3 linked regions of the Stegostoma tigrinum genome follow. The protein of the gene in region 2 binds, or shares a complex with, the protein of the main gene of each other region. Links are inferred from orthologs where the notes say so. Each region holds a gene or a part of one and is shown on either strand. Other genes may lie near its edges. The genes, in order: Kv channel-interacting protein 2, kcnd2 and Kv channel-interacting protein 1.

The links.
Region 1: the proteins of kcnd2 (region 2) and Kv channel-interacting protein 2 are in contact, whole or in part, in a cryo-EM structure (PDB 7UKH), measured with the Homo sapiens proteins. The link is inferred for Stegostoma tigrinum from reciprocal best matches to the Homo sapiens genes KCND2 and KCNIP2. Residues at the interface, in NP_036413.1 of Homo sapiens: Val5, Ala7, Trp8, Leu9, Pro10, Phe11, Ala12, Arg13, Ala14, Ala15, Ile17, Gly18, Trp19, Met20, Pro21, Val22, Ala23, Ser24, Gly25, Pro26, Met27, Pro28, Ala29, Pro30, Trp55, Asp57, Arg61, Arg100; in NP_775283.1 of Homo sapiens: Arg112, Gly113, Phe114, Asn116, Glu117, Cys118, Val123, Phe128, Ile131, Tyr132, Gln134, Phe135, Phe136, Tyr144, Leu148, Phe152, Phe165, Leu169, Ile172, Leu173, Arg180, Trp183, Ala184, Leu187, Tyr188, Met201, Met205, Ile208, Met211, His228.
Region 3: the proteins of kcnd2 (region 2) and Kv channel-interacting protein 1 are in contact, whole or in part, in a cryo-EM structure (PDB 7E8E), measured with the Homo sapiens proteins. The link is inferred for Stegostoma tigrinum from reciprocal best matches to the Homo sapiens genes KCND2 and KCNIP1. Residues at the interface, in NP_036413.1 of Homo sapiens: Ala2, Val5, Ala7, Trp8, Pro10, Phe11, Ala12, Arg13, Ala14, Ala15, Ala16, Ile17, Gly18, Trp19, Met20, Pro21, Val22, Ala23, Ser24, Gly25, Met27, Ala29, Pro30, Gln33, Arg35, Lys36, Arg37, Thr38, Gln39, Asp40; in NP_001030009.1 of Homo sapiens: Thr60, Arg62, Glu63, Val66, Leu67, Arg69, Gly70, Phe71, Asn73, Glu74, Phe85, Ile88, Tyr89, Gln91, Phe92, Tyr101, Leu105, Phe109, Phe122, Leu126, Leu129, Leu130, Lys137, Thr141, Leu144, Tyr145, Val162, Ile165, His185, Phe189.

What each region holds. Positions count from the first base shown.
Region 1 is NC_081373.1:13,470,164-13,477,080, forward strand, and holds the start of Kv channel-interacting protein 2, read right to left. Parts: upstream 3,029-6,917; 5' UTR 3,011-3,028; exon of another isoform or gene 2,553-3,010; 5' UTR 2,534-2,552; coding exon 2,416-2,533; intron 1-2,415. UniProt on the Homo sapiens protein: Regulatory subunit of Kv4/D (Shal)-type voltage-gated rapidly inactivating A-type potassium channels. Modulates channel density, inactivation kinetics and rate of recovery from inactivation in a calcium-dependent and isoform-specific manner.
Region 2 is NC_081371.1:36,346,932-36,354,031, reverse strand, and holds the start of kcnd2 (potassium voltage-gated channel subfamily D member 2), read right to left. Parts: upstream 3,072-7,100; 5' UTR 2,347-3,071; intron 2,059-2,346; 5' UTR 1,950-2,058; coding exon 838-1,949; intron 1-837. UniProt on the Homo sapiens protein: Voltage-gated potassium channel that mediates transmembrane potassium transport in excitable membranes, primarily in the brain. Mediates the major part of the dendritic A-type current I(SA) in brain neurons.
Region 3 is NC_081366.1:63,376,998-63,384,563, reverse strand, and holds the start of Kv channel-interacting protein 1, read left to right. Parts: upstream 1-4,469; 5' UTR 4,470-5,317; coding exon 5,318-5,420; intron 5,421-7,566. UniProt on the Homo sapiens protein: Regulatory subunit of Kv4/D (Shal)-type voltage-gated rapidly inactivating A-type potassium channels. Regulates channel density, inactivation kinetics and rate of recovery from inactivation in a calcium-dependent and isoform-specific manner.

The sequences.
Region 1 (6,917 bases), on a different chromosome or scaffold from region 2:
ATCCCTTGTTAAAGTTCTAACCCATTTAAAAACTGCTCCCCCCCAGATACACACACACACACACACACACACACACACACACACACACACACACACACAAAACATGCGTGTTACGTGTGAAGGGAAAGCTGGATGATTAGGCAGGTGGTCCCCATCCACAGGGTTTGCTTCTCAATTTTCTTCTTCCTCCTGTTTGCAAGTGACTCGTTCACACTAATTAAAAGTCAAAGTTTACTATCATTGATGAGAAATAAACTTGCTTTCTTCAGGGGTGACCTGGCAACTTCTCACCTGAGTAAATGCACCCAAACTATTGAATCATCTCTGTGCCATCTCCAATGCAAGTGCATTCATCCTTAAATATGTAATAAATCACACGGTACTCCGGCTGTGAGCTCAGCAAGACCCTGTACAATTATAACAAAACTTCTTTCACGTACTTCAAGCCACTTGCAAAAAAGGCCAATATGCCATCTACCTTCCCAATTGCTTGTTCCTTTATTCTTTCATGAGATGAGGACATCACTGATTGGGCAGTATTCATTGCCCATCTCAGTTACCCAGAGGGCAGTTGAGAGTCAACCACACTACTGTGGGTCTGGAGTCACATGTAGGTCAGGCCAGGTAAGGATGGCATTTTCCTTTCCTAAAGAGCATTTGTGAACCAGACGGGGTTTTCCTGACAATCGACAATGGATTCATGGTCATCGTTGGACTGTTAATTCCAGTTTTTTAAATTGAATTCAAATGCCACCAACTGCCCTGGTGGGAGTAAAAACCCAGGTCCCCAGAATGTTATCTGCGTCTCTCGATTAACAGTCCAGCGATAATACCACTAGGCCATTGTCTCCCCATGTTGTGCCTGTGTGCTGTCTGTCTGTATACCTTGTACAACAATCATCATCATTATTGGTGATTCTTCACAGATGAGGATAAGTCTGTAGGTAACTGTACAGACCAACGCAGCTACTGCAGGCTCTGTTACACTTGGGGCAGGTGGTGCTCACAGGGAGTGGGTGGGGTATTGTGGCGGTGCACTCCTTTCGCTCAGTTTCCATTTCTTCCTGACGGCAAGTCTCGAGGTGCTCAATGTTTTCCCGGATGCCCCTCCTCCACTCTGGATGGTCTTGGGCCAGTGATTCCCAAGGGTTTGTGAGAATGCTGCACTTTGCCAGTGCACTAGAATACCCAAGTCTCTCTGAGTGTCGATGTGTGAACTTTCACACCTTTTCAAAGTGAATAACCTCACATTTCTCCAAATTATACTCCATCTATTACCTCATTGCACACGTGCTTAATCTGTCAACACGTCTTTGCAGTGTCTTTGTGTTCTCCCCACAATGTATACTGCCCCTAGTTTGAATCATCAGCCAGTTTGGGCACATTACCCTCTGCCCATTCAAACCATTAATAAAGATTGAAATTGACTGAGGCTCCATGACTGACCCTCGTGCTGGCACTCCACTATCAGCCAACATGAACAGGCTCCATGTATCCCTACTCTTTGTTGAGCAATCTGCTTTCCTTGTTAATATATCACACCCAACTCCTTGAGCTCATGCGTAGCGTATTAATTGTTTGAGTGGCACCTTATATCGTATGCCTTTGGAGACCACATTTACTGGTTCCCTCTATTAATCCAATTAAATATTTGCTCAAAAACATACAATTCATTAATTAAATTTGACCTTTCTTTCTTAAAACTTTGTACGAACATACTATGCTTTTCTAAGCCCATTGTCAGGACCTTCTTCACAATAGATTGGGGGTTGGTTAGAATCAATGGCAAGCGTGTATTTTAGAATATTGCTGATTCATTCCCAATTCTGTTGTAGTAAAACCTAAATCTGCCCTTTCTTTGAGACTGACCAGAAGCACCTCAGGCTGGCAATGAAGCATCAGAAGACGAACTGCCAACCTCATACGCCCGAGCTAGTGCACAAGCACATGAATGTAAAATTGATTCCAACACATTTTTTCCCCCAAGGACTAATGTCAGGATAATATAGCTGCAGTTCCCTATTTTCTCTCCAGCCCCCTTCCTTAGATAACAGTGTTATGTTTGCTAACTATCAATCCGCCAGTGAATCTACTTTCTCTGCAGCGACCTCTTTTAAAAATCTCAAATGTAGGCCATTAGGGCCTGGGGATTTGTCAGTTTTTAATCCCTCAAATTGGGCTGTAGTTCTTTTTCTGCTGTAACTAATTAACCTCAATTTCCTCACTTGTTTTTTTAGCCCCAGTCTGATCAGACAGGGACTGCATGATAGACTTTGTGTTTGTCTCCCATCAGAGTTAGCAATTAAGCTATCGTTTACAAATTTAGAGTCTTCAAGAACCTTAGACTAGGTTAACCAATAAAATTCAGACAAAAATAAATGAGGGGGCACTTTTGGTCTGCCACCCATTTCCTACCTTCACTGGAGAAATCAATCAGTCCCAGGAAATGCAACAGCTTCAGAGAACTTACAGCCAGAAAGACAATCCCTACAGTCTGCAATCCCTCCGACTCCCAGTCCGTATTTAAAACCATCTCGACTGCCTTCTGTCATCTGGTTTGGGATTTTTCGTGGGGCAGCAGGAGATGGACGCAGAGCCACAAGAGATGGAAAATTATACGAACATAAAGGCACAAGTCATTAACAGGGTAAGAGGCACAGACTGAGAGACAGAATGATTCATTCACACAGAATGAAAAGACAGATTGGGCTACAAGACACTGAGAGATAAACAGTGAGAATCACAGAGTGCGATGCAAAGAGAGTGAGAAAACAGAGGCAGAGAGAGAGATATGTAGATAGTAAGAGATGCAGAGTTGACACAGATGGAATGGGTGACTCAGCGACAGACACAAAGGCAGAGAGACAGAGACAGACAAACAGAGTGAGAGTCACAGAACGAAACAGGGAGGTGGGGGAAAAGACTCACAGCGGGAGACAGAGACAGGAACACGCACAGGAGAGTCACGGGGAAGCAGTGGATTTTGTGGGATTTACGGTGAGAAACATACACAGAGAGTTAGGATGACAGACACAGTGAGAGAACCTGATAAACTGAACTGTCAAAGATGAGAGGGCGGGTTCCATCGTTTACAAATCTTTCTGCGCCTGCACGTTGTGTTTTTAAACACTCAGTGGTTGAGTCAGATTTTCCCCTTTGGCAATGTCAGTTAAAACGAGCACTGTTGCCAGTCAAGTGATGCCCACTTGGATCTGGCATTTCGGGAGCCTCTCTGCTGAAAACTCTTTGCTCCTGAGAAAAGGTGAGTGCTTTTGTTGTAGGTCACTGTCTGGCTCACTGAAGGGCAAGGAGCAGCACTGAACCTTGGACCTGCAACTTCAGAGGAGGAGATCCCAGGTAAGGAAGAAAACAAAGGCATTGGAGCTGTGGAGCTGTGAAGAAAGGAGAGATGGGGGTACACTGTGGGTCTCCCAGTGTCAGAAGAAGAAAAGCAAGACACTTCTATCCACAGCAGATGAAGAAGGACTGCAAAACTCATGAGCAGGTAAAAATCTGTGTTCCTTAATACTATTTGTAGCCTCTTTGTACTGATATCTTGCATATTGAACATATGCCTTCTGCCTCACTGTATGTCCCTCCCACCCTTTCACTGTTGTGCCCTGTGCCATTCTGACTCCGATCCGTGACACTGCCTGTATTATGGACGTCTCTCTTCTCTGTGAAGGTGCAAAGTCTTTGCAAGGGCTTTCCCCAACTCTGCTGTGCATACCCTAACTCCAAGCCCCATTTGACCATCTTTCCTCAGCTCGCTGACTGACGCTGGTCCTTGGCCTTGGCCTAAAATTATCCCTCCATGGCCTCTTCCTATCCCCTTTCGTATAATCTCCTCCGGCGCTACAAATCTCTACAATCCCTGTACTCTTCCGATTCTTCATTTTTAGTGGCCTTGTCTTTAGCTGCCTGTGTGCTCTCCTATCTGGAAGTCACTGCCTAAAAATCTCCACACCTTTGTCTTCCTCTGATCTGGTCTTTTAAACCTTCCTCTCTGATTAAGTTATTTAAGGGGAGGTGATGGCCACAGCAGATGGTGGAATTTGAATTCAAGTATCTAATGATGACATTGTGCCAATTATTGGTTCACTAATGCCCTTAAGGGAGGGGAAACTGCCATCCTTACCTGGTCTGGCCTACGCATTGACTCCAAACCCACAGCAATATTGACTCTTAGCTGCCCTCTGGTAATTGGGGAAGGGGAATAAATGCTGGCTTGCCAGTGATGCCCTCATCCTGTGAATGAATAAAAAGAAATGGGTCACCTGTCCCCCTATCTCACCATCTGCTTTGCTATGGGTTCAATAGGCATAGAAGTTGGTGTTTATGATAAACTATGTGTGCTCAATCATGGCTTTGTGTAAGGTCGTAAAACTCTCCGAGGTGTGAAGATGCCCACTGCACCTGCCCTTAGCCAGGGACTGACACATCCTGCCAGGGCTCAGAGTTGGGAACTGCACTCACAGTGGACTCAAACATTTTTATACAGGCAAAACATCTTGGCTTCGTACTCTGTACCTGTCCCCACGCAGAGTAGCCTCGTGTGTATGTCACAGTCACTTTCACAAGCACACTCACACACACTCTCAACTACTTGTGCACACTCACACACACTGACATACTCACTCATTTTCATTCTCACCCGCTCTGTCATCTAATTGTGCGTGCACGCACACTTATTCTCTTACATTCTCACACACGTGCACTCTCTCTCGAGCGCACACACACACACACACACACACACTCTCTCATCCTTGCACTCTGACATTTTCACATTGTGTCGTACTCAATCATACTCATCTTCTCAAACTCCAGGTTTTCACACACACACCCTCGCAGTCATTCACATTCTCACATACTAATTCTCACTTTCTCACTCTCACAGTTACAGTCCCTAGCAGTGTGCTTCCCCCCTTGATATTGAAACATCCTGTTAGACCGCTCTCTGTCAGAGATATCGCACATACAGTCACATGCTCGCGGATATTACTATGATAAAGTGTTGATGCCAGCCTCAATCTTCCCAACGTGTTTTATTGACTCTAACAATTGACTCTAACAAGTTATCCATAAGTCTCTCGGTGTCATGGCAACAGGAAACGTTTGTGAAAGGAAGAGCTTTGTGATGCTTTATTTTAAGATCCAGCTTTTAACATGTAAACGGTTCATAGTTTGCTTAAAATGGGAGACAGTACAGGGCACAGGGAAATTATAATTCCTTTTATACTTGTTGTTTCCATCAAACACTCCCAGCAATAGGCTTAGCATGGGGTTAAAGATCCCTCTACAGTATCCTCATCAAACACTCCCAGGACAGGGACAGCATGAGGTTAAATACAGAGTAAAGCTTCCTCTACACTGTCCTCAACAAGCACCCCTGGGCCAGGGAGGAGTGTACAAGGATTAAAAATGGATATGTCTCTCTTCATAATTGCTGTTCGGTTCCATTCATGTCCTCAGCATCCTCAATGTTTGTCATAATGTAAACAAAGTTTGATTCTCGGAATTACTGGAAAATAAGGGGCTCAGGTTTGATTTGAGTAAAGCCTGATTTGGAAAGGAACCGATAGCCCGGCTGGAAGGAAACTTTAAGTGTTGGTTGGAGAGTCTCAAAGAAACGGATATTATCTTAAGATGAGAGTCAGGCCCTTGGAAGTGGTTCAGGGATCATGCCTTCACACAAATGCGGAACCCACACCCAGCCCCCAGAAAGTGGAAGATGTCAGCTCAGTTAATCAGTTAAGATGTGTGTTTAGAATGAAGGTGCCAATGTAGTTGAATAGCAGAACAGGCTTGGGGGGGGGAGCTGAATAGCCTCCCCTTTTTTATATATCCTTCCTGAGTTGTCAGTCAATGGCTGTCTGCTGTGAATGAGGAGCAGCTGTTTAACTTTCAGGAGAGCACACTGGCAATGCCATCTGGTGATATCAATATTGACATATCTGGGGAAATCTCATTTTTTACCTCCGCAGCCTTGGGATCGCAGAGGTGTCGTTGGATGGAGAATGCCAGCTGGTAATGTTGTTATTTTGGCTCCAAAGAAGACTTGGGTTCTGAGTCAACACAGCGTGGAGCTGGAGGAATGCAGCAGATCAGGGGAGCAGGAGAGTCGAGTTTACACCCTACAGCAATCATGATGAAGCCTCCACCATCTGCAGTTCTTGCTATCACCGAGAGGCTGGGATTCTGTTTGGTCTTGGAGTGCTCTGACTGTACTAGAAAATCACATCAGCCCAAATGTCCTGCCCTATGTTGGGCCCAGTAGCAGCATTCTAAGACAGAGTTGTGGGGAGAAGACCCACTCCAGTGGTTTGAGGGAGCTGGCTGCGTTATGTGAGAGACGCACCACTAGAGAGGCCATTTTCATCAGTATAACTGAAACAAGCTGCTCCTCTGTCCCTTTCAGGTGGATTCAAATGACCCACAGCACTACTATAAGGAAGAGCAGAGGATCGAGTCAGTATACGCTCCTCAACATGTCATCACTGTGGAAATGGATTACTTAGGATTGTGGGATCTTGCTGTGCATAATTTGGCTGCTGCATTTCCCCCATGACAACAGTGGCTACACTTCACAAATTACAGGCTGTAAAAAATTCAGTATCTTCCATGGGGATGAATGGCCCGAAACAGGGGGTGGATTGGAGTGGCATGGTGGCTCAGTGATTAGCATTGCTACTTCACAGCGCTAAGGACCTAGGTTCAACGCCACCCTCAGGCAACTGTCTGTGTACAGTTTGCACATTCTCCCTGGGTCTGTGTGGGTTTGTTCCAATTTCCTACCACAGTCCAAAGATATGCAGGTAAGGTGGGTGGGATGCTCTTCGGAGGGACAGTGTGGATTCAGTGGGACAGATGGCCTTCCCCGAACACTGAAGGGTTTCTGTGATCTGTTAAACTCTCAC
Region 2 (7,100 bases):
AATGTCTGATTCTCTTCATCCACTTGGGAAGATGTCTGTCCTCTTAGCCTAAACAGAGGTAACTGGGACAGGCTGACATTTTGTACACCAGTGTTCTCATGTTTTACAGATCATCAACATCTGTTGAGTTCAAAGAAAACAACATTACTTTGCTTAAAAAAACTGGTTTTAGCTTTATACACCAACATATCAAAAGTGCTGTGCTACCTCACACCTTCCTTTCTAAGTAGAGTTTCAAACTTGCTGGCAACACAGTGCTGTGAGGTTGAAAAATTTAAGTCATCTCTAAATAATCTTTTAGAGTTACAGTAATTCTGACATTACTGTAACTCTAAAAGGTTATTTAGAGGTGACTTAGGTTGCAATGTGAAACTACGAACAAAGATCAATTCTGCAGGGAAACCTTACGTACAGATGGGTAGGACAGGAGGGAAAGACTCCATGTTTTCAAGATGATGTCAAGGAACCAGAGTGAAATAATCTAACAAAAGTTTAGATTTCTTCACCTTATAGCCACACTTATAAGGATTGTCACTGCTAGCAGATAATTAGAATTTGTGATTCATTTCACACCTTCTCCATACTGGTTTCCAATGCAAGAACATAAAGTTCTGTCCAAGACTGGCCGATACCACCAAGGACTGGCTCCAAACACACTTCGTATGGGCTGCCCAGTCCTCGAGACTGACTTGACAACCTCTTCTACCCGCGGGAACCACTCAATAATCGGCGACATCCATTCCCCCTCCTCCAGCCCAACACAACGAGACGCAGCAGGAGAGGGATTGGGGGAGATGAAACAAAGAAAACAGACAAGTGGCCTAGAGAAGCACTTACCCCAGGGTGGTCATGGTGACGATGGTGTACCAGAAGGCGGCCGGGATGCTGGTGAACTTGGTGGCGGAGGAGCCCTTCTCGGCGTAGAACATGACGGTGGCGAAGATGATGATGGCCATGGTGAGGGAGAAGAGGAGGAAGCCGAGCTCCGAGGCGCAGCTCTTGAGGGTGTAGCCCAGGATGCGCAGGCCCTGCGAGTGGCGGGAGAACTTGAATATCCTGAAGACGCGGAAAACGCGCAGGGTGACGAAGGCGCCGCTGACATCCTCGTTGTCGGTCATGACCAGGCCGATGTAGTAGGGCATGATGGCGACCACGTCGATGATGCTCATGACGCTGCGCACGAAGCGGTAACGGCTGGGGGCCGCCACGAGGCGGAGCAGGTACTCGACCGTGAAGATCATGACGCACGCTGTATCCAGGCAGAAGAAGGCCAGGGCGTAGCGCTCACCGCACGGCAACTCCTTCACACTGCCCGGCAGCGAGCCGCACGGCACCGTCTCCACCACGTTGGCCATCACCGACACCGCGATGAAGAAGCCCGTCACGTAGTAGAAGACGAGTGCCAAGGTGCTGGTGTGCGGGTTCTCGAAAGCCCGCCACACCTTTTGGCGGGCGGTCATGGACGGCAGCCGGTTCTCGCTGCTGATGTCGTCCTCGGCGTCGTCCATGATCCGCTCGATGTTTTCCCGCTTTCGGTCCTTGTATTCTTCGTAGCAGCAGTCGCCGATGATCTCCGGGATGATGCCGAAGAAGGAGAGCTCCTCGTCGTAAGCCGAGATGCACTCGTGCCTCGGGTAGTGCAGCTTGCCGGTCCGGTAAAAATTCAGGATGCTCCTGAAGATGTCAGGGTCCCGGTCGAAGAAATACTCGCGGATCTCCTCGTTGTAGAAGAAGTCTTTCTCCGAGCTGCCCAGCAAAGTGTCCGGGTACCTCTCCAAAGTGCTCCTCCACGTCTGGAAGCGCCTGCCGCTCACATTCAGGATGACCAGCCCGTCCTGGGGCCGCTTCCTCTCGCTGGGGGCGGCGGGCATGGGCTGGCTGGCCACCGGCATCCATCCGATAGCGGCCGCCCGGGCAAACGGGAGCCAGGCGGCTACTCCCGCTGCCATCGCTCCGATACTTTACTGCCTGCCTGGCTGGCTGGCTGGGAGGGTGTCACAGGGAGATACAGGTCGCTTCCCCGATTCAGAACCACGCTTGATGCCGCACGCCTGACATCTAGAAAGATAAAGGAGGCAACCCAATGTAATTTTGCGATCGTGTTGAAATAAAACAAAAACTCCTCGCGGCGTACCCTTGCCCGGTCTCAAAATATTTATTTCGCAGAATTCCCCATCTCTTGTGTTTTCCACTCTCTCACATACACATGCACACACACACACACACATTTTAACCCGTAACCGTCTTATTATTGCAGTTGTGCTCCTACACGGGCATCAACTTAACAGCCAAACAGAAATTTACCAGGTGTTATCAAAAGAATATTTTAACTGTTTGTTGTCCTACCTCTCTGAAGAGTCGGCCACTTGTCTGATGCATTCAGATTTCGGTGCTGTATCACTTCAATCCACTACACGTTAATGGACATATGTATAGAAAATACGAAGAACCTGAACCGGAGCCGTGACAGGAGAATCCCTCAAATAGAGCTTTTCAGTCCACCAGCAACAAGTTCAGGAAACGTAATCACGCTCGACGATCCAGTAGCGATACGAGACCTCAACATATTCCACTTCTCCACTCTTTGCAGTACAGTACCTCTAAAAGAAGGCGAGATCGTTTGCATATACATTTATACACAGAATATAAGGAGCCACTCGCAAGACTGAGGGCGCAGTTGAACTTCCTTGCTCTGAGATCGTGTGGGTGGTTCATAACCATCAGCTATTGTGTTCAATGTAAAATCAAAACCTGCAGGTTTTTTTAAGGATATACAGCTTAGGTTGTAGTGGATATGAATTGGAGACAGAACTTGTTCAAAATAGCACTTTGTTGAAACTGGAATGAGCAGAAAATTTAACCTCAAAAAATTATCGAGAGTTCATTCTAATATCCGGCGCTCGTCGTTTAAAGTAAGTGTTGTGGTCCTTTGCCGTCGAATCGTTTTCTGTACCGTTTACAAACAAATAGGGAAGAGACGATTGTGGGAGAACATTTCAGCCGTTCGAAGACGCGTTTCAGCTTTCTCAATTTATCGGAGCATTCAATCCTATTTCCTTTGCTGCGAGCCCACGTCAAATAGTTCGCCCTATAGAGGGCGACAAAATTCAGGATAGAGGCTGAGCTGTTTGAGAATGGCAAACATAACCAAAACTGTTGTATGTAAGAGATTCGGGAGATGATTAAAGAGGTTGGTGAGGCCTTAACATTATACCACATTTTTCAACATTTCGTCGTTTTAATTTCACAAACACGTCAAGTTTTTTGAATTTAATGATAAAGTGCTTTTGTGGTTGATTGTGGATGAAATCACTTCAGTGAGAGATAAGCAAATATTAGACGCATTATTGGTAGAATTAATAAATAAGGTAATTTAAGACTAGTGGAGATTGTGTATAGGTTGCCTCTTAGCAGCTATGAAGTGGTAGATTAGATAACAGCAGAGATTAGACAAACGTAGCAAAATCTTTTATCTTCCAGGTCAATAAGAAAAAAAATGTTGCAAAGGTTGTGAATTTCTTTAATGTGTCTTGGATAAGTTTCCTAATTTAAGATTTAGTAATAAGTAACCATTCAGATTTAGGTAACACAGCCTAATGATGTGTGAATATTTTATCTAATGTAGATCATGTTGTGATATCATTCAATTTAATGATAAAGGCAAAACAGCTCATCAGTTTCTAAGTTACAGTTACGCTGACTTCAATGCGATAAGCAAAACTGTCATCAGTGAACTTAGCAAATCCGTTAGTAGCAAATATGATCTGAAATCAGTTGGAGGTATTTCAAAAATAATAGATGATGTAGAACCAATTTAGAACTCCCTAAGAGGAAAGATGCTGAGAAAGAAAAGACCAAAGACAATGAAAAAAAACAAGAAAAAACATACGCAAATCTTGACAAATGAGAATGTAAAACAGAATGTAGAAATATTACAAAAAGCATGAAAATAAACTTACAAGGAATATCAAGGTTAACTCAAAAATATTGCATGGGAATTAGAAGATCATCTGGGGATGTGAGAAAAACTGCTAATAGTAAAATGAAAATTAGGAAATGGCAGACATATTGAGTAATTACTTTGTGTTAATATTTACAGGTGTGATAGACTTCAGCATGGTGGACGTCCCCAGGTAATGAATGTTTGATCAGACACAACTTTATATCACTACCCTGGAGACCAGAATTTTTCAGCTTGTCAGAAGCACCAGACTTTAGGGCACAATTTGAGATACATAACAAATGGTGCTGACACTGATTTCACACAGGATACAGGACAGATATTAAAACCACAAAATCCAGAATTGTCACCCTGAATAAATTGGTATCATAAAAGAGGGATAGATTCCCAATATCAGATGGCTTCTAAGTTATAATTTTAAAGGAAGTGAGACCACTGTCAATTCGGGAACTGTTCTTTTACATTGGAAAAGAGTGTGTACCATTTCACCTTTTAGGAAATGTGAGAGAGGAATGATAGTTCACTTCACCTGTCATCTGTTGTTGGGCTATTCCTAGTATCTATAATTAAGGATTTAGTGAATGAACAAATTGAAAGTTTTCAGCTGATCAAACCCTCAGTTCCTTCACAGGTCAGTTTCTGAACAGGATAGCGATCTAGGCCCAAACCTCTTTAGCTGCTTCATCAAGGACCGTCCTCCATCAGAATGTCAGAAGTGGGCATAGTCACCGATTATTTCACAATGTTGATCATAATTCGCAAGTCCTCAGATACTGAAGGAGTCAATATTCAAATGCAACAAAATCTGGACAGTAGTTAAGCTGACAAGTGGTAAGTAACATTTGCACACCACAAATGCCAGGCAACTGTAATCTCCAGTAAAAGACAATCTAACACTACCACCCCCACCCCCACCCTGACATTCACTGGTTTTACTGTCACTGAATCCCCACTATCAACGTACTGGAGGTTACCATTGACTGGAAACTCAATTGGACTCGACACATTAATAGAGGTTTCAAGAGTTGGCAAGAGGCTAGCAATACTGCAGTGAGTTACTCACCTCCTGAATCTCCAAAGCCTGTCCACTGTTAACAAGGCAAAAGTCAAGAACGTGATGGAATACTCCTCACTCGCTTGGATGGGTGCAGCTCCGACAACACTCAAGAAGCTCGACATTGTCCAGGACAAAGCAGCCCACTTAATTGGCACCACATCCACAAACATTCATTTCCATCACCACTGATTCTCAGTAGCAGCAGCATGTACTATTTATAAGATGTACTGCAGAAATTCACCAAAGATCATTAGACGCACCTTCCAAACCTACAATTCCTTAAAGTCATTCAGCATGGAAACAGACCCTTTGGGCTATATAGTCCACATCAACTATGTTCTCAAACTAAACTAGTCCTACCTGTCTGTGTTTGGTCCGTATCCCTCCAAACCTTTCCGATTCATGTATTTATCTAAATGTGTTTGAATATTGTAACTGTACCCGCATTCACCACTTCTTCTGGCAATTTATTCCACACACTAACCACTTTTTGTGTAAGCATGTTTCCTCTTGTGTCCTTTTTAAATTTTTCTCCTCTCACCTTAAAAAATGATCCCTAGCTTTGAACTCTCACACCTTAGGAAAAGGCCTTTGCTATTCATCTTATTGCTGCCCTTCATGATTCTCCACAGTTTCTTGAGGTCACCCATCAACTTCCTACATCACGTTATGGATTTACCAGATTGATACCTCAACTCCATGAGTTAAAACACATGTACAGATTACATAACTAGTATTCCATCAAATTTAGAAAGCTTTAGAAGGCGATTTGAGATTCTGAGAATATTACAGGGAATAGACTAGATGGTTTGGGAGAAATTATTTTTCCTGGTAGGGAGATCCAGGGGGTTTGGGGAACACACTTACACAAAATGGCAAAATGATACTTGGTCATTGTTAAATGTTGGGTTGATAGGTTCTTGTTTACCAATGGCATTAAAAGATTGGACAATCAGCTATAATCTCACATAATGGTGGAACAGGCTTGAGGGGCAAACTATGTTCTTATATCCCTTTGAACTCAATTGTATTTTTTCAATAAAGTAGGTAAACTTGTACTCATTTGGTGCTTTTCAGTCTCAGAACATTCCAAGGAGCTTTACAACCAAGCAGAGAAACTAAGTTGAATACAGCAAGATCCATTAACAGCAGGGGAGATGTTGGCCTTGTGGTACTATCACAAGACTATTATTCCAGAGACCCAGGTACTGCCCTGGGAATCTTTGGTGAATTTCTGCAGTACATCTTATAGATAGTACATGCTGCTGCTACTGAGAATCACTGGTGTTGGGAGTGAATGTTTGTGGTTGTGGTGCCAATCAAGTGGGCTGCTTTGTCCTGGACAGTATCAAGCTTCTTGAATGCTGTTGGAGCTGCACCCATCCCGGCAAGTGAGGAGTATTCCATCAGATTCTTGACGTGTGCCATCTTGCCATAGCAGATGGAGAAATTTGAATTTAATAAAGTATCTAGTGTTAAGGGTCTACTGATGTCCAAGAAACTGTTGCTGATTGTTGGGAAAACACCATCTTGCTCACTAATGTCCTTTAGGGAAAGATCCTCACCTGGTTTGGCTTACATGCAAATTCAGACCCTAAACAATATGGATGATGCTTGACTACACTCTGGGTAGTTAAGAATGAGCAATAAATGCAGACTTATCCAGCAATACCCACACCCCTTAAATGGATTTAAGAATGACTAGATAATATGTTTTGGACAAAGTTCCCCAACAGTTATTAACCTGAACATATATCTTTCTGTAGATGCCATCCTATCTCCTGGAATGCGCTTTCCAACCTTAGTTAGCCCACAAAGTCCAGCTACATCTTCTCAATCCTATTGCAACCAAGCTGTTGGTGACTCATTTTGCCTTACTGGCCCCCATGTTAACTGGTACTGTTAACAATTCCAAATGTTTAGATAATGCTCTACAACCATCCCTCATTGCCTGGCAACAAATGCCACTTTTCAACTTCTCCGTCTTTCTTTGTTCAACTGAACTGTCTTTGCTTGGTACATTTATAATTTACCGAATCACAGCCAAATTATCATGTACGATGGCTCGTTTGTCCTCTCCAA
Region 3 (7,566 bases), on a different chromosome or scaffold from region 2:
CTTCGCCACTTGCGAAGATCTTTGCATCCTCGCTCTCCACTGGAGTCGTACCTGAGGACTGGAGAGAGGCAAATGTAATTCCTCTCTTCAAGAAAGGAAATAGGGAAATCCCCGGCAATTATAGACCGGTAAGTCTCACGTCTGTCGTCTGCAAGGTGTTAGAATGGATTCTGAGGGATAAGATTTATGACCATCTGGAAGAGCATGGCTTGATCAAATACAGTCAACACGGCTTTGTGAGGGGTAGGTCATGCCTTACAAACCTTATCGAGTTTTTTGAGGATGTGACTAGTAAGGTTGATGAGGGTCGAGCTGTGGATGTGGTGTATATGGACTTCAGTAAGGCATTTGATAAGGTTCCCCATGGAAGGCTCATTCAGAAGGTCAGGAGGAATGGGATACAGGGGAACTTAGCTGCTTGGATACAGAATTGGCTGGCCAACAGAAGACAGCGTGTGGTAGTAGAAGGAAAATATTCTGCCTGGAAGTCAGTGGTGAGTGGGGTTCCACAGGGCTCTGTCCTTGGGCCTCTACTGTTTGTAATTTTTATTAATGACTTGGACGAGGGAATTGAAGGATGGGTCAGCAAGTTTGCAGACGACACAAAGGTCGGAGGTGTCGTTGACAGTGTAGAGGGCTGTTGTAGGCTGCAGCGGGACATTGACAGGATGCAGAGATGGGCTGAGAGGTGGCAGATGGAGTTCAACCTGGATAAATGCGAGGTGATGCATTTTGGAAGGTCGAATTTGAAAGCTGAGTACAGGATTAAGGATAGGATTCTTGGCAGCGTGGAGGAACAGAGGGATCTTGGTGTGCAGATACATAGATCCCTTAAAATGGCCACCCAAGTGGACAGGGTTGTTAAGAAAGCATATGGTGTTTTGGCTTTCATTAACAGGGGGATTGAGTTTAAGAGTCGTGAGATCTTGTTGCAGCTCTATAAAACTTTGGTTAGACCGCACTTGGAATACTGCGTCCAGTTCTGGGCGCCCTATTATAGGAAAGATGTGGATGCTTTGGAGAGGGTTCAGAGGAGGTTTACCAGGATGCTGCCTGGACTGGAGGGCTTATCTTATGAAGAGAGGTTGACTGAGCTCGGTCTCTTTTCATTGGAGAAAAGGAGGAGGAGAGGGGACCTAATTGAGGTATACAAGATAATGAGAGGCATAGATAGAGTCGATAGCCAGAGACTATTTCCCAGGGCAGAAATGGCTAGCACGAGGGGTCATAGTTTTAAGCTGGTTGGTGGAAAGTATAGAGGGGATGTCAGAGGCAGGTTCTTTACGCAGAGAGTTGTGAGAGCATGGAATGCGTTGCCAGCAGCAGTTGTGGAAGCAAGGTCATTGGGGTCATTTAAGAGACTGCTGGACATGTATATGGTCACAGAAATTTGAGGGTGCATCCATGAGGATCAATGGTCGGCACAACATTGTGGGCTGAAGGGCCTGTTCTGTGCTGTACTGTTCTATGTTCTATGTTCTATGTAACTGTACTGCTCCCATTCTCTGGCCATAAAGATTCATCAAAGAAAGTGCTAAACAAGGATGTGGAACATCCTGTTCCCATGACAACTCGACTTTAAAGCAGCAGTGGTTTTCCAGTACAATGAACCTGAGTTATTGATGACGATTTCATTCTGTGTAGTAGTGTTCAGTAAGTATAGAACTGACAGCATCCATTGAAGTCAGAGCTGTCATTGACTGTTTGTGAAGACACTACAATGGAGTTTCCTCCACTACCATCCACCCAAACTCTGCAGATGTGACTGCGAGTGGCTTTGGACAAAGTGATTGTCAGCCTCTTACTTAATCTTGTTGTGTGGCATTGGGAAACCAAAAAAGGCTGTTCTCAATATTAGTGCCCCATTCAGGTCAAAGAGGGTCAGTGTTGCAGTTCAAATGTGTATTAAATAGCAATCGCAAAATGCACAGTTTTAGCGGGTGGACATTTGAGCTGTCTAGTGATTGGAAAACCTGCCAGTAGAGGATTTGATTCTTCCTGTGGTCAATGCCCTTTCTCCACACTTCCTGAACACTGAGGGGAAAAAAGAGTACTTTTTTTGATGTTGATAGGGGATATGGCAGGCACTATCCAGACATGCAATTATTGTCCAACCCTCTCGATATGGGGTGGTGAGCTGCCTTCTTGAACCACTGTAGCTTTTGTGATAAATTCACTACACTGTTATGAAGGGAGCTCCAGGATTTTGACCCAGTAACAGTGAAGCCTAATTTGATGCTGTAAAATGCTTCCACTTTTGATCATTTTGTCGGACTGTAGCTGTTTGATACAACTGAATGGCTTGCCAGGCCAATTTGGAGGACATTTGAGACTAAAACACATCACTGTGGGTGTGGAGTCACGTGTAGGCCAGGTTGGGTAGGGATGGCAGATTTCTTTCACTAATACCTAAGATTGTGTTTTTATAACTATTGGCAGTGGTTACAGGGTCACCATGAGGCTATCTGCTATGATAGAATTCAGCCCATATCCCTGACATATTAGCCTGGAGCACTTGATTACCAGTCCAGTGACATCACTACTGTGCCACCACCTTCTGCAAGCATTGCTACCCATTATATAAATGATCCACTACATAACATATCCCACTTTGCATCACATCCTACTATACAACCCACACTTATACAACTCACCTATAATGCAACCCACCCATTATACAACCCACCCATTATATAACACACGTATTATACAATCTAACCATTAATGAATACACCTACAATACTACACATCTATTATACAGCCCACTCGCTGTACAACCCACCTATTATACAAGCTACACATCATACAATCCACCCATTATGCAACACACCTACTATGCCACCCATCTATTATTCCAACCACTTAGTATACAACCAACAAATTGTACAACCCATGTTTTATATAACACATCTATTATACCACCCATCTATGATACAATGCACTCATTACATAACCCACCCTCTACATAAGCCACCCACTACGTAACCCATCCACCAGCTCAATCAGTAGCTTTTGGTGATGGACATTGTAATCTCCCATCCAAAGTACATTCTGAACCCTTCCCACCCGCAGGGTTTCCTCCAAGTGTTGTTCAACATGAAGGAGTACTAACTCATCAGCTGATAGAGGATGGAGTGTGGTAATCAGCTGGAGGTTTCCTTGCTAATATTTAACCTTATGCCATGAGACTTCACGGGGTCCTGAGTCAATACTGTGGATTCCCAGAGCATCTTCCTCCAACTGTATATCACAGTGCTGCCACCTCTGCTGGATCTGTCCTAATGGTGAGGGAGGGTAGTGATGATGGTGCCTGGGATATTGTCTGTAAGATATACAACCAAGCCATTATATCACTCACCTAGTATGACTTAGCCATTGTATCACCCACACAACATACCACCACCCAAAAAATAAACCACCTAGTACACAAAATTTTGTGTTGCCGTAGTCTGACCAGACTATATGGCTTCTTTCTCATTTGAGAGAGTTGATTAATGGTGATTTAACTGAGGGCTACCATACCTCAGATGATGAGAGAAGTTGAGAAGAGCTTTCCATTGCTTTCCAACGAAATATCCAGTGAACTGAACTAAATCAACCCCCTTTATACCTTGTAACCACTCACCCAGTTTACCACTCTCACATTTTACAACCCAACCTACAATACAAATCTCACACCTACACTGGTTAGCCCTGATGCTTCACATTGCCAGGGACCCAGGAGCGATTCCAGCCTTGGGCAACTGTCTATGTGAAGTGTACATGTTCTCCCCATGTCTGCGTGAGTTTCCTCTGGGTGCTCTGGTTTGCTCCCACCATCTAAAGATATGGGGGTTAGGTGGATTGACAATGCTAAATTGGTTCATAGTGTCCAGGAATGTGTAGGCTAGGTAGATTGACCATAGCAAAAGCAAGATTATGGAAATAGAGTGGGGGGAGTGTCTGAGTGGGATGCTGTTCAGGAGGTCACTGCAGATTTGATGGGCTGAATGGCTTCTGTCTACACTGTAGGGATTCTTTGATTCTCAGATTCCACAACCTATCCATTATACCCATTCATCGCACTTTCGCTAATTACGCAGCCATCGGTTAAACATCTGTGCATTATACATGGCCTGTAATACATTCACTCTTGAAACACCTACCTGTGAAGCACTCATGCCTATTGCACACTCATACGTTGTACACTGTGCACTGCACACTCGTATGGTACACGCCCATTTGTTATGCATTAATAGATTACACACACCTGTAACACCCTCAATTCTACAGATCTACTTATTCACCACCAGTACACAACCAGCCATGATGCATCTGCCTCTTTACACTTCCCTGTGATACACGAGTCTGCAAGATTATTGTTAGTTACACATCTGCCAATTTTGAATACGTAGGGAGAGGTGTCTCTGGAAATGGGCGGCAAGGTGGTTCAGTGGTTCGCGCTGCTGCCTCGTAGCGCCAGAGCTCACGTTCGATTCCACCCTCAGGTGACTGGCTGTATGGAGTTTGCACGTTCTCCCAGTATCTGTGCCGGTTTCCTCCAGATACTCTGGTTTTCTTCCATCATTCAAGGATGTGTGGATTAGTCTGGGAAATGTGGGGTTACAGGGTAGGGTGGTGGACCTGGATGGGGTGCGCTTCGGAGGGTTAGTGTGGTCTCGATGTGAGTTTGCTCGCTGAGCTGGAAGGTTGGTTTTCAAACGTTTCGTCACCATTCTAGGTAACATCATCAGTGAGCCTCCGACGAAGCGCTGGTGTTTTGTTCCGCTTTCTATTTATCTGTTTAGGTTAGTGTGGTCTTAATGAGCCGAATGGCCTGCTTCCACCTGTAGGGTTTCTAGGATTCAAACACTAGATGTGAAATTGGGGAAAATAACAGTATCGTGTCCGCTGTGTAATTTTTCACCAGTGTTACATTGAGTTCCGAATGAGATGTTGACATTAGTAATCTGGTCCACTCCCCAGTCCCGTGGGTCTATCACTGCCTGTGAAAGGTCTGTTTGGTATGCGTTGGTAGAGAACACAGCCTTTGGTGGTGACTACTGAGAGCTGGTGAAACACGAGAGTGCGGACAGCTACAGACAACGTTTGTTTCCGCTTCGATCTGGCGGCTGCGTCAGTCAATGTAGCTCTGTGACAGCCCACAGTGTTCAGCTGAGGGAATTGAAGTAGCCTTGAACTCACGTTGGAGGAATAACAGTGCAAAGCATTCGCAATCAATCTCACCAACACGTGTGTGTGTGTGCAAATGTGGAAGTAGCTCCAGGCGCCTGATTTTTCCGAACACACTGTGGGTCCAGCACGCCTTCACAGCTGAATGCAAAAAGGAACTGAGTACAAGAGAACGAGAAAGACATTCAGAATGGGAGCAGTGATGGGTACGTTATCCCTGCCAACAAAACAGAGGAGACATTCAAGAGGTAAGGTGCTGGAAGCAGCCACAGCCTGTGATTTGCTTCACGTCTTCATTCTCTCTGAGCGAAGGCTTGTACACTGAAGCCTGGTTTAAAGCAGGCAATCGCCCGGAATAGACGTGTGTTTCTACAGCGATAATACCTTTTGCTTGATTTCAAGTTCATTTGAAATCTTGTCGCAGCTGCAGGAATGGTAGGGAGTGTGAGCTGGCCCTTGTGCTCTTCGTACTCAAGCTGGTGTTGCAGGATGGGGCGTATCTGAAATAATTGCAGGAGGTACATAGCAATATTACTGAAACCGAACCGGAAATGTATCCGATAATAAACTAAAACTTACAAAGTGATGTACTGAAACGTAACGATTAATAGAATGAAACTTTCTGCTAACATTGTGAACACAGTCTCAGCAAGATAGAGTAAGGAATACAGTAATATAGTAGGATAACAGAAATTGCTGGAAAATCTCAACAGGTCTGCCAGTGACTTATTCAGAAATGGACAGTTATATATAGTGTCACTTATCAATAATATAATGTAATAAAATTGAAAAACAGTGTTACTTACCCAGTAGTATAGCTTCCCATTAATTTAGTGTAATCATTTCATAACGTAGTGCAACAAAACCAGCAACATTTACTTACTCCATAATATAGTGTTACAAACCTAGTAATATATAGAAAATACTCATTAACATAATGGAACACACAAAGGAATATAGTGAAATATAGTAGGATCATAGAGATGTACAGTACAGAAACAGACCTTTTGCTTTAACTCATTCATGCTGACCAGATATCCCAAATTAATCCAGTCCTATTTGCCAGTATTTGGCCCATATCCCTCTAAACCCTTCCTATTCATATACCCATCCAGATGCCTTTAAAATGTTGTAATTATGCCTGCCTCCACCACCTTCTTTGATGGCTCAATCCATTCATGCTCCACCCGCTGTGTGAAAAGTTACCCCTTTACTCCCTTTTTAATCCTTCCCCTCTCACCTTGATCCTTTGCTCTCTAGTTTTGGACTTCCTTACCCTGGGGAAAAGGCCTTGGCAGTTCACCCTATCCATGCCCCTTGTGATTTTGGAAATTTCTATAAGGCCATCCCCCAGCTTCTGATGCTCTGGGGAAAATAGCCCCAGCCTATTCAACCTCTCCCTATAGCTCAAACCCTCCAACCTTGGCAATGTCCTTGTAAATATTTTCTGAACCATTTCAAGTTTCACAATATCTTTGCTATAGCAGGGAGCCTAGAACTGAATGCAGTATTCCGACAGTGGCCCAACCAATGTCCTAGACAGCTGCAACATGACCTCCCAACTCCTATACTCAACACACTAACCAGTAAAGACAATCATACCAAACATCATCGTCACCACACTGTCAACCTGCGACCCCAGTTTCAATGAACTATCAACCTGCAACCTGTATGTTCGGCAAAACTCTCCAGGACTTTACCATTAAGTGTGCAAGTCCTGGCTTGCCAAAATGCAGCACTTCACATTTATCTAAATTAAACTCCATCTGCCGCTCCTCGGCCTATTTGCTCAACTGATCAAGGTCCTGTTGTACTCTAAGGTAACCACTATCTGCTGCACCACCAATTTTCGTATCATCTGCAAATTTATTAACTGCACCTCCAATGTTCACATCCAAATCATTTATATAAATGACAAAAAGCTATGCACTCAGCATCAATCCTTGCTGTGCACAGCTGGCCACAGGCTTCCAACCTGAAAAGCTACCCTCTACCATCACCCTCTGTCTCCTACCTTCAAGCCAATTTTGTATCCAAAATGGCTGGCTCATCCTGTATTCTCTGTGATCTAACCTGGCTAAACTGCCTACCGTGTGGAACCTTGTTGAATGCCTTAATGATGTCCATGCAGTCATCGTCCACTACTCTGCCTTCGTCTGTCTCCTTTGTCACTTCAAAAAACTCAATGAAGTTAGTGAAACACAATTTCCTACACACAAAGCCATGTTAACTATCCCTAATCAGTCCTTGCCTTTCCAAATACATGTAAATGCTGCCCCTCAGAATACCCTTCAGTGATGTGTGAACCACTGATGCCAGGTTCAGTGGTCTGTAATTCCCTGGTTTTCCTTTCCACCTTTTCTTATATAATGCCACAATGTAAGCTAACCTCTA